Linked DNA regions of Drosophila melanogaster. The main gene of each other region encodes a partner of the protein of the gene in region 2 in a complex. Each region holds a gene or a part of one and is shown on either strand. Other genes may lie near its edges. The genes, in order: Su(fu) and fu. A codon is read from its position in the direction of its gene.

Region 1 (4,256 bases), on a different chromosome or scaffold from region 2:
AAACTGAATTATTTTCCACGAGCTGTTTTTGCGAAAAATCGCTCGCTCACTTGATGAGGGGCGCCTAATCGGAGAAGCAGAGCAACTGTTCTCTGCGGTAAACAAAAATTCACCTAGGCAACGCTCAGACAAGCGATGCGTCAAGGGTTTCCCATCAGCCAGGCTGATGATGCAGCTGCTCCAGGTCCAGTTCCTCGCGCAATCACATGATCCCGGGCGGGATTTTGTGTTCAAATTGAATGCTCTTCTAATTGATCAATTCCCAGAATTAGAAACTGAAGCATTCGGCGGTCCACTGCGCAATACCATCAATTGGTGGTTAGTCGGTGGCGATGACTTCCACCGCCTGCAAGTGGCCATATCCGCCGCAGCCACCAAAGCGAACTGTTCCAGTGCTCAATAGCCTGACCCCAACTTGACTCATCCGGCGAATTGTTCGCCGCTCCTGGCGCCGGCGCTTCCTCTTTTCATATTGCGATCAAAGGCCCGTCGAGTGGTTTCGGGTATATGTATGTGTTTGTATATTTTGACTGGACTCCGGCGAGGAGCAAAGGCCACGTGCATTGTGTTAGATGAGATGTATAAATGTAAAACTTACTCGTTAGTGGAAGATTCAATTCGATTAATTTAAATAACTACTAGCTAACCAATGGACACCATCACATTTTCAGAGGAGCAGCGTCGAGCGACATGGGCAGCACAGGTTCCGGCTGGTCGATGATCAGCTTCAGATTCTTGTCGGGCCACTCGAGCTCCAGTCGCTCCTTGGGCTCGCATTTCTCGTCTAGGCCCGCGCTGCGGAAGTCTTCCATCAGGCGCGGCACCAGTTCATCGGGAATCAGGACCTGAATCCAGTAGCCCAGCACGCCGTACGGTTCGTTCACTGTCACCGCCGAGCCGGTGACGGATTCCGCCACCAAAGTGAGCGCCAGATGCTGAGCCTTGAAGGTGAAGTGGCGCCCATGTCGGATGCGATCCTTGATGGCCAGTAGGAGGTACTTGGCCACACCAGGTGCGAGGGTAATCTCAATACCGTCCAGTGAAATGCAGTTTGGTGCCTGCGCTTGAAAGTCCAGGGGACAGGACTTGTGCAGCGAATTGCTGCTCATCGACATGGATTGTGGAAAGCTTGGTTCCTCGCGTTTCATTTGCGTATCCGTCAGCTGCCGATTGTTTTCGTCGTTGGCGCACTTCTCGCTCAGCGCCTGGAAATCCACCTCCTCCTTCACCTCCTTGGTAGGTTTCAGCTCACGGAACGTAAAATCTGCATTAACGCCGGCCAGATCGGAACCCTGCTTCTCCAGATCGTCCTGTAGGTTTAGCAGCGTTTCGGGAAACAGTTCGAAGACGCTCATCTGGCGATCCATGTTAGTCACCAGCCAATCACCGCCAGTTTGCATATCTTGGCGAAGGAAGTTGAGCACACCGCGCCCGTTCCAACGCGATGCCTGCTCAAGTTCGTCGTCAAAGACGCCGACGATCTGGCAGAAGTCCACCGTGCCCGTGGGAGTGTCGATGCAGCCCAACTGCGGGTCCTGGGCGACGAGCAGGTTCTGTAGCTTGGAAGTGGTACTGCCATCCAGACTCTTGCGCCACGGGATGTTGTCTCCGAAGCACAACCCGTTGCCTGTTTGAAAACAATAGCGTCCGATGGCCTGCAACAGGTTCGCCGGCCAGGTGGGCGGTCTTTGGGGCTTTTCCGGGTTCTCAATCTGCTGCTTTAGCTCTATTTCTGTTTTGGCCAAGCGAAAGGTCAACTCGAACCCCATGCCAGACCGAGTGACGCCCTCCTCGCGCAAGTGGACTCGCTCGTCCCCGTGTAGGTCGCTGAGTCCGAAACTAATGTAGTGCCAGTGCGGCGGAACGTTCCTATCCACATCTCCGGGATAGTTGTACATGCTAATGTAGTCCAACGGATCCTGACCGCCCAGCCAGTACTTGAGCAGTGTGGTCACCTGCAGCGGGTTCGGCTGGTTGGGGTACACCTGCCCGAGGTGGTCTATGATGGCCTTAAGGCCCGGCGGAGGCTTCACCTCAGGTTTTTTGTCCAAATTCGCCTCGGCCATTTCATCCAGTTTGATCAGTATGACCTCAGTTGGAACGTTGCGGAATACCACCGCTTGAATATACCATGAATAAAAATACTGCCATGTAAAGTGCGGATTTGACAATGGAAACTTACATGAGTTTCTTTTAAAACCATTATTTATTTTTAAAACCTTTTTTATAATAATTATTACTTTCTTACTTTTTTCTGCTTATTTTTAAAATGTAGAGAAAAACAGTGAAAATATATATCCATATAGCTTTAAACCACCACCATGTAAAATATTGAGTATTTCTTGCCGTGGTATATTTTTACATGCTGTTTATTTCTGCCAACCACCTACGGTCACCCTGTTGACCAACTATTTAATAGAAAATTTGCAAATTTTGATAAACGCACAAAATGGAGCCTTATGATGTCGTCGTCAACCAGCCCGTCGTCATAGATAACGTAAGTGGAGATGGGGCTCATTAAATGCGGGTAGCTTTGTGCAAATCTAGGGTTCCCAAAGTTTTAGCCAGCAAACAGTGACATCACCTACCGCCCGTCCCTTTGTCAACGAGCTTTCAAGCCGTCTTCAAATGGCCAACATGACTAATCCCAGAGAGAATAGCTCCGCAAACGCCAGAGATGGTTCAATTCGGAAGTGAAGACAGCGAAAACGGGGAATTTGGTCTATAAAGCTTGCGTGGAATCCCTTTATCTGCCCAGCACACGCACACACGGATATCTGCGGGCGGTGGCTGCATCCCTGCTGTTGCGTCCCTGCATCTGGAAGCCTCTGTCGAAGTCCATTTGGTGCCCGTACTCCATTGGGTAAACCACGGGAATAGACTCCACATGGGAGGCAGCGGGTCGCTTTAAGCGCTCCAGTTCGGGATCTATCTTCACACCACACTTGCCCCTGTATGTGCTGAACATCTTGGGGCGCAGCAGCTTGTTGTAGGGATCGCGGAATTGATCTCGGTACTTCTGGCACTCCAAATAGAAGGAGTCCACCTTGTACAAGCTGCCGTAGCTGATGTTGGTCAGTCCAACTGGCGGTGCGAACTTTAGTAGCGATTCCCGTTCGTATTGCGAATTCTTTGACACGGTCATCATGTCCACTTCCGGCACACTAAAGGATTCCATGTTGACTATATAGATTTCCTGTTTGCACGTTGAATTTTAAATAAAATAAGCTGACGCAACTAACTAAATGTATTCCACATCACTTTTGACAGGGCTCCGGTGTGATCAAAGCCGGCTTTGCTGGTGAGCACATTCCAAAATGCAGGTTTCCCAATTAGTAAGTGCCGTGGACCACTCACGAACCTTAAGAACCCCTAGAACTAATGCCTTCTCCTGCAGCATTGGCCGGCCCAAGCATGTCCGAGTGATGGCTGGTGCGCTGGAGGGCGACATATTCGTTGGACCCAAGGCGGAGGAGCACCGTGGCCTGCTTAGCATCCGGTACCCCATGGAGCACGGCATTGTCACCGACTGGAATGACATGGAGCGGATATGGAGCTACATTTACAGCAAAGTAATTTGTCCATAAATGTTCCATAATCTTAACTAAATGTTTTAAATGGCATTGACCAGGAACAACTGGCCACCTTCACGGAGGATCATCCCGTGCTGCTGACCGAGGCCCCGCTTAATCCGCGCCGAAACCGCGAAAAGGCAGCCGAGTTCTTCTTTGAAGGCATCAATGCACCTGCGCTCTTTGTGTCCATGCAGGCGGTGCTCAGTCTGTAAGCATTGCAATCTCACGAACTGCCCCTATCGATTTCATTTAACCACACTCTTGCAGCTACGCCACCGGTCGTGTGACTGGCGTAGTGCTCGACTCCGGCGACGGTGTGACGCATGCGGTTCCTATCTACGAGGGATTCGCCATGCCTCACAGTATTATGCGCGTGGACATCGCCGGGCGCGATGTGACGCGCTACCTGAAGACACTCATCCGCCGGGAGGGCTTTAACTTCCGGTCGACTGCCGAATTTGAGATTGTGCGCTCCATCAAGGAGAAGGTCTGCTATCTGGCCACCAATCCGCAGAAGGAGGAGACCGTGGAAACCGAGAAGTTTGCCTACAAGCTGCCCGACGGCAAGATCTTTGAGATTGGACCTGCACGCTTCAGGGCGCCGGAGGTGCTCTTCCGGCCCGATCTGCTGGGCGAGGAATGTGAGGGCATTCACGACGTTCTGATGTACTCCATCGAGAA
Region 2 (5,824 bases):
GGCCTGCAAGCAGTCCAAAGTAGTAAAACACCCTTTCCAAACAGACGCCAACCAGACCATGGTCATACTGAAGGCCTTCAAGGAGTACCACGACCGCACCTGCATACGTTTCCGGCCGTACGAACAGGGCGACAAGCACTGGCTGCTCATCAAGGGCAACTACTCCGGCTGCTGGTCGAGCGTCGGCCGGCGTTCGGGTGGCCAGGTGCTCAACCTGAACACACCCAAGTGCGTCACACACGGCGTGGTGGTGCACGAGCTGCTGCACGCGCTCGGCTTCTACCACCAGCAGAGCGCCACGGAGCGGGATGAGTACGTCAAGATCAACTGGGAGAACATCCTCGACGGGCACGCGCACAACTTCAACAAGTACGCCCGCACCCACATCACCAACTTCGGGGTGGAGTACGACTACCAGAGCGTCATGCACTACAGCTCGCGGGCCTTCAGCAAGAACGGGAAAGCCACCATAGAGCCATTGGTGAGTAGGCCAACCCAAATGGTTACCAGTTATTCATGTAATTGAGTATTATTTTAAATCGCTTACACTGTAAAGGAGTTCAGTTTAACATTCAATAGTAATACTGCGAATTAATGGACTATTGTATGGACATACAGTAAATTCGCTTATCTTAACAATTACTACACCTAAATGTTATATTTCGATATACAAACTATAATGCTATCAATCTATTTTGCACAAACCACACTTGAATATGTGCATTCAAAAACACCTATCAATTAACTTAGATTCCATTAGGAATGCCAAAAACCGTGGCTCATAAAATATTTAAATTCGATAGTGATAGTGATTTGATCATATTCAGATTAGGAATTCCTATATTAACACATGGTCCAATGACGTGCAACTATGCTAGGAATAGACGAAGCATTTTGCTTCCTTGTCCAGTTGGAACTATATCAAATGAGAATTCTTTAGCTGAATGGTTGACTACACCTTAGCAGTTTTAGTTGAAGCGATGAGATGTTTGTAATGACTTGGGGGAGCTTGCATCGTCTACACTCTCTGACTCCTGTCCTTTGCTTCCAGGATCCGTACGCCTCGCTGGGCCAGAGACGCGGCCTCTCCGACAAGGATGTGTCCAAGCTAAACGAGATGTACGAACAGGACTGCAGCGAGGACTACCTGCTCAACTTCGACCGCTTCGGGAACTACATCGACGAACTGCTCGACTACTTCCAGGGCAACATTCAGGATCTGCTCGGATAAAAACGCCTGAGGCCAATAAAAGAAAGTGCCGGCTAGGTGACGAAAAAAGTGAAGTGACTGATCTCGTCGAGGGTCTGGGCGGCCTCCCCACGGAGTGCCGGGTACGAGTGGTGCTCAGAGAGTTGTTGCAGCGCAAATCGCAGCTCTCCATTCCATATGCGCTGCACGCCGCGCAGGCTGAAGCGGGCCAGCAGGCGCAGCAGCTGACAGGAACGTTGCCGCAACAGGTGGTGTCGGCTCTGCAGGAGCGAGACGAAGTTTAGCCGCGGATTAAAGACAATCCGTTCTACAAGCTCCGCGTTTTCGGGCAGCTCGCGCAGCACACAGCCCATCAGGGCCAACATGCACCCAGCCAGGCGAACAGAGGCGGCGTCTGAATCCGATTGCCTGAAGTCTACGGGAGAACGGGAACGGGCTAACAGTTTACAGGAGTCAGCTCATACCATCTAAGGGTAATCTTACCGTGCGTGAGGAAGTTGAGGAACAGATCGCTTGCTGCCAGAATGGCAACCGCATCGCAGAACTGCGTTAGGAACTGCTGCTGCAGGTGTACCAAGTGGCAGACCAGTTCGTACAGACTGCAAGCCGTCTCCAGCTCCTCGACAGTTAGCTCCGGAATGCTACGCAACGTTCGACTGAGCGAACCCGTGGTGAGTGGGGCGGAGGCAGCCGAGTCCGAGAGTTGTTTGTGCGACAGGAGCAGCTTGCAGGCGTACATGAGATTGGGCACCAGTTTTACGTCCACGTACACGTTGCGGATGAGCTCGAGGTCAACAATCAAAACAGGATCCACCAGCACAAAGGGCAACGACAGCAACTGGGCCACACTCTTGAGTACCCGTGGAATGGCCTTGGAGTTGCGCAGCGGTGCCACAATAATGCTCACCAGGTTGTGCTGTTTCAATGAGTCCAGTTCGCCGTCAAGCAGCTCCTGCACCGATCTGTTCAAGAAGGCTAGCCACTCATCGTTCTCGATGGGCGGACTTTGGGATTCATCGCAGCTATCCCACCCCGGGAGCAGGCACGGCGGAGTGTTGCTGTTATTGAAAGGGGAAAGTTAGTAAAAGAAATTCTATGAGGCGCAGTGGCCACTTACTCGCTGCTCAGCTTTTCCTCATTGGTGGAATGCATTGAGTGTTTAAGTTGTTGTGGCTGTTGCTGCGGGGGCTGAGAATTTGCGTAGGAAATTGCTTCAGCGGGAGGCTTGTTTTCCTGGTTATGCTTTTCCTGTGTAGCAATCTCCGTGGCCTTGCGTTGCGCCTCATGGTCGACGCTGTGACCCAAGCGAACAGAGAAGTTATCCAGATTCTGACTAAGCTTACGCTTCTCTAGATCCTTGCTGCGCGACTGGCGTACGGTTGGAGCGACTATTGGCTTAGCGGCCACGCCTCCGCCCCGCAAGGAAGCCTGAAAGTCGAAGTTGTCGTTCATATGATTGAGGATCATATTGGAGTTGCCACTGACGAAGCAAGTGTGCGAGTTGATCACCGGCTGGTGTACCATCGGCATTGCCCGAACACCAGACAGATCCCTGTAGGACAAGTCCGCGAAGGGAACGACCACACGTTGCATATTGTCCTCCACATCGGTCTCAAGATGCTCAACATCGCTGGGAGCAATGGCGTTTATGCTGTCGCGGGAGGTGGTCAAGTTTTCCTGTCGCGACTCGCCAAAGTCCAAAGCGGCCAGGGCCTCGTCCAGATCGCCTACCTCCGGATCGGACTGTTTTGACGACTTAACCTTGGCTTCGGGATTTGTGAAAGGCGATTCCTTGGCCGCCTCCGCCTGCGTTTCTGCGATAAAGATGCGTCCCTCAACGAAGGGGTGACACAACAGCTGCGTCCAGGATATGCGCAGACCGGGGTCCTTCTCAAGCAGGCCCTGTAGGAAGGAGCGGCACTCGCTAGTCAGCGTGCTCGGCCACTTGACGTCCTCGTGCTTGATCATCTTCACCAGATGCAGGATGGAGCTGGCACAGAAGGGCGGCTGACCGGCCATGCTTTCGTAGGCTATGCAGCCCAGTGACCACATGTCCGCATGATGGTCGTACGGCTGCTCCGCCAGCAGCTCCGGGGCCATGTAGAGGGGCGTTCCCTTGATCGAGGTGAGCACGTGGGTACCCAGGGTCATGTTGCGGGCCAGTCCAAAGTCGCAGAGTTTCGCGTGCATGTTCTTGTCGAGCAGCACGTTTTGCGGTTTGAGATCCCGGTGGAGGATGCGGTTTGAATGCAGGTAGTACAGAGCGGACACCAGATGCCCGGTCACCCGACGTGCCGGCTCCTCGCCCATGGCTCCATTGTAGGACAGGTAGCGGTGCAGGTCCATCAGCGCGAACTCAGTGACCACGAAAAGGTCCGTCTTCGACTCGAAGGACTCGATCATCTCGATGACGTGCGGATGCTTCAGCCGGGCCTGAATGTCGCACTCCCTGCGCAAATTCTTCAGCTCTTTCGTGGCTCTTCCGCGCTGCAGAACATGAATATGGTGTGAACTAGTTGTATGGACTTGTTGCTTTATCACCTGGCCCGCCCCACTCACCTTGGAGATCACTTTGATGGCCACCACCTTGCTGTCGTCCTTGCGTGTCGCCTTGTATACGCACCCGAAGGATCCTTGCCCCACCATCGAGCTTACCGCGTAGCGGTTCATGGTTATTCTTTGTTTTGCTGCGGATTGGGATGTGATTACCACTGAAGTGCGTGCGGTATGACCGTAGCAGGTTGACTCCGAGGTGGGAACTCGGCTTCGGTACGTAGGTATATGAAAATACTAGATTGCTCATACAGGGTTCCTTTTCTGATAAATGACGCTTTTGCTGGACAGCAATTGTACCTAAAAATCTATATAGACCAGATCATGATACAATCCAAGACAAATACAAGACTAGTTTGCGCTTTTATCTGTGGCAGTAGGTATTAGTATTATCTGCGAATAAACATTTATTAAGTGATAAAAGTTGGAACGAACTTTAACTTATATATTATTATATATTATAAATATTTATATGTATATATTTCTTAATGTACAAATTTTTACTTAATAAGTGCAATAAATGATATGCAATATAAATAATTAAAAATTCCAAAAGTGCAGTAGATAATATAACTAATTATAGGTATGTACCTATATATCGTAATGTACCTAAAATTCAGTGTGACCAAACCAACACAAATGACCCTTTTGACAGCAACTCGGTACGGTCACCCTAGACAAGCACGGCCGAAGAACAGCTGATTGCTGGCTGGTTTTTATTGTGCGGAGCCAGGAATAATCGTTGTGAAATAAATAATGATTGCCAATTTGAACACAGCCACCCAGTGAGACGACACCCACAATCGCAGCACGATGCGCGAGCCCAACCTGTACGTGATCCTGTCGCACGCGCTGATCGGTGAGTTTCCGCCAACCGGCAGACACTTCTGCCACGCCTCTTCCGCTTCCAGGCGGCAGTCTAATTGAGTTGGGGATTCCCACTGCCATTGACCACACTCCCAATTCCAATCCGCATCCCAGGCTGCGGCTTCTTCTTCCTATACGTGCAGCATGTGCGCGTGATCTTCGAGACGCGCACCAACATCCAGCAGCTCAATCAGCTGGAGCGGGAGGCGCTTCTGCGGCGCGAGGATGCCCTGTACTATGCCTTCTACAAGCAGCTGGCCGAAGGGCCGGACTTTTGGCACGGCTACGAGCAGCTGAAGAACGTCACGGACATCGAGTATCCGCACAGTGTCAATGTGCTGCAGCGATTCTACGTGCTGCCGGAGCTGGTCACGGCGTAAGTGACTGCCAGAGGAGTGATGCCCAAAAAGTCCACTAATGCAGATGCACTTTCGCTCCCCAAAGGTACTTCTTTCACGTAGTGCGCTCCGGCTTCAATCCAATGGTGCAACCGATGCAGTTCTATCTGGAGTTCGTGTGGCTGATGGGCGGGGTAACCCTGCTGGTACTCTACCTGTACGGAACGCTGCTCAGCGAGAACATTTTCGGTGGCATATACGGCGTAATCTCGTACCTGATGTTCCACAGCTTCGTGGCCAAGATCTATGAGCGGCCGCTGGCGCGGGAGAACTTCGCCTTTCCGTTCATTTTCCTGCAGATGTTTTATCTGTGTATCTGCATCGGAAGGATCATACACCGACAGCGGCACACATCTCGCATGTTCATGGTAATAGGTGTGCTTTATTGCATTAAGCTCAGTAACATCTTTGCCCTTCGAAGATCTTCGCCATGTCGCTTTTCACCGCCTGCGCCCTACTCTCCTGGCAGTTCTCCACCTTCATCTTCACCACCCAGATCCTGATCATGATGACGTCCTGGAACGCGAGCGCGCTGCCCACGGCTCTGGTCAACGCCTTCGTGCTGGACTACTCGCTGTCGCACCTGCTGGGCCACGCTCTCGCCTTTGTAATGTCGCACGGCAACAGCCAGCTGCTTCTCACCTGGCAGCTGAGCATCTCGCTGTTCCTATTTTTGATTACAATGGTGCGACAGTTGCGTCACGTGCGCAGCCGGCGACTGGGACACGCGCAGGATCTGCTGAACGGCGACTTATTCTCGTTGAAGTTCCTCATGCTCACACTGCTGCTCGCCAGC

Evidence for each region.
Region 1: the proteins of fu (region 2) and Su(fu) are in contact, whole or in part, in a crystal structure (PDB 6LPH), measured with the Drosophila melanogaster proteins. Residues at the interface, in NP_477499.1 of Drosophila melanogaster: Phe371 (codon at 2,698), Val372 (codon at 2,695), Ser373 (codon at 2,692), Asn375 (codon at 2,686), Ser376 (codon at 2,683), Asn377 (codon at 2,680), Met378 (codon at 2,677), Ile379 (codon at 2,674), Leu380 (codon at 2,671), Asn381 (codon at 2,668), His382 (codon at 2,665), Met383 (codon at 2,662), Asn384 (codon at 2,659), Asn386 (codon at 2,653), Phe387 (codon at 2,650); in NP_536750.2 of Drosophila melanogaster: Leu18 (codon at 2,015), Ile22 (codon at 2,003), Pro33 (codon at 1,970), Asn34 (codon at 1,967), Pro35 (codon at 1,964), Leu36 (codon at 1,961), Gln37 (codon at 1,958), Val38 (codon at 1,955), Thr39 (codon at 1,952), Thr40 (codon at 1,949), Leu41 (codon at 1,946), Leu42 (codon at 1,943), Asp50 (codon at 1,919), Tyr54 (codon at 1,907), Met57 (codon at 1,898), Arg127 (codon at 1,688), Thr130 (codon at 1,679), Trp131 (codon at 1,676), Ala133 (codon at 1,670), Asn134 (codon at 1,667), Gln137 (codon at 1,658).

Annotation. Positions count from the first base shown.
Region 1 is NT_033777.3:12,689,373-12,693,628, forward strand, and holds Su(fu) (suppressor of fused), read right to left. Parts: upstream 2,097-4,256; 5' UTR 2,067-2,096; coding exon 660-2,066; 3' UTR 501-659; downstream 1-500. Other genes in the region: Arp1 (Actin-related protein 1), read left to right, coding at 2,450-2,497, 3,271-3,335, 3,398-3,572, 3,632-3,783, 3,843-4,256; CG31347 (uncharacterized protein), read right to left, coding at 2,747-3,178.
Region 2 is NC_004354.4:18,655,896-18,661,719, reverse strand, and holds fu (fused), read right to left. Parts: upstream 3,966-5,824; 5' UTR 3,881-3,965; coding exon 3,770-3,880; intron 3,698-3,769; coding exon 2,328-3,697; intron 2,269-2,327; coding exon 1,694-2,268; intron 1,626-1,693; coding exon 1,264-1,625; 3' UTR 1,232-1,263; coding exon of another isoform or gene 1,052-1,231; 3' UTR 516-1,051; downstream 1-515. Other genes in the region: CG6696 (uncharacterized protein), read left to right, coding at 45-481, 1,052-1,231; CG6659 (uncharacterized protein), read left to right, coding at 4,577-4,622, 4,745-5,006, 5,075-5,396, 5,450-5,824. UniProt on the Drosophila melanogaster protein: Probable serine/threonine-protein kinase; maternally required for correct patterning in the posterior part of each embryonic metamere. May be involved in control of cell division during metamorphosis and ovarian development. May interact with costal-2.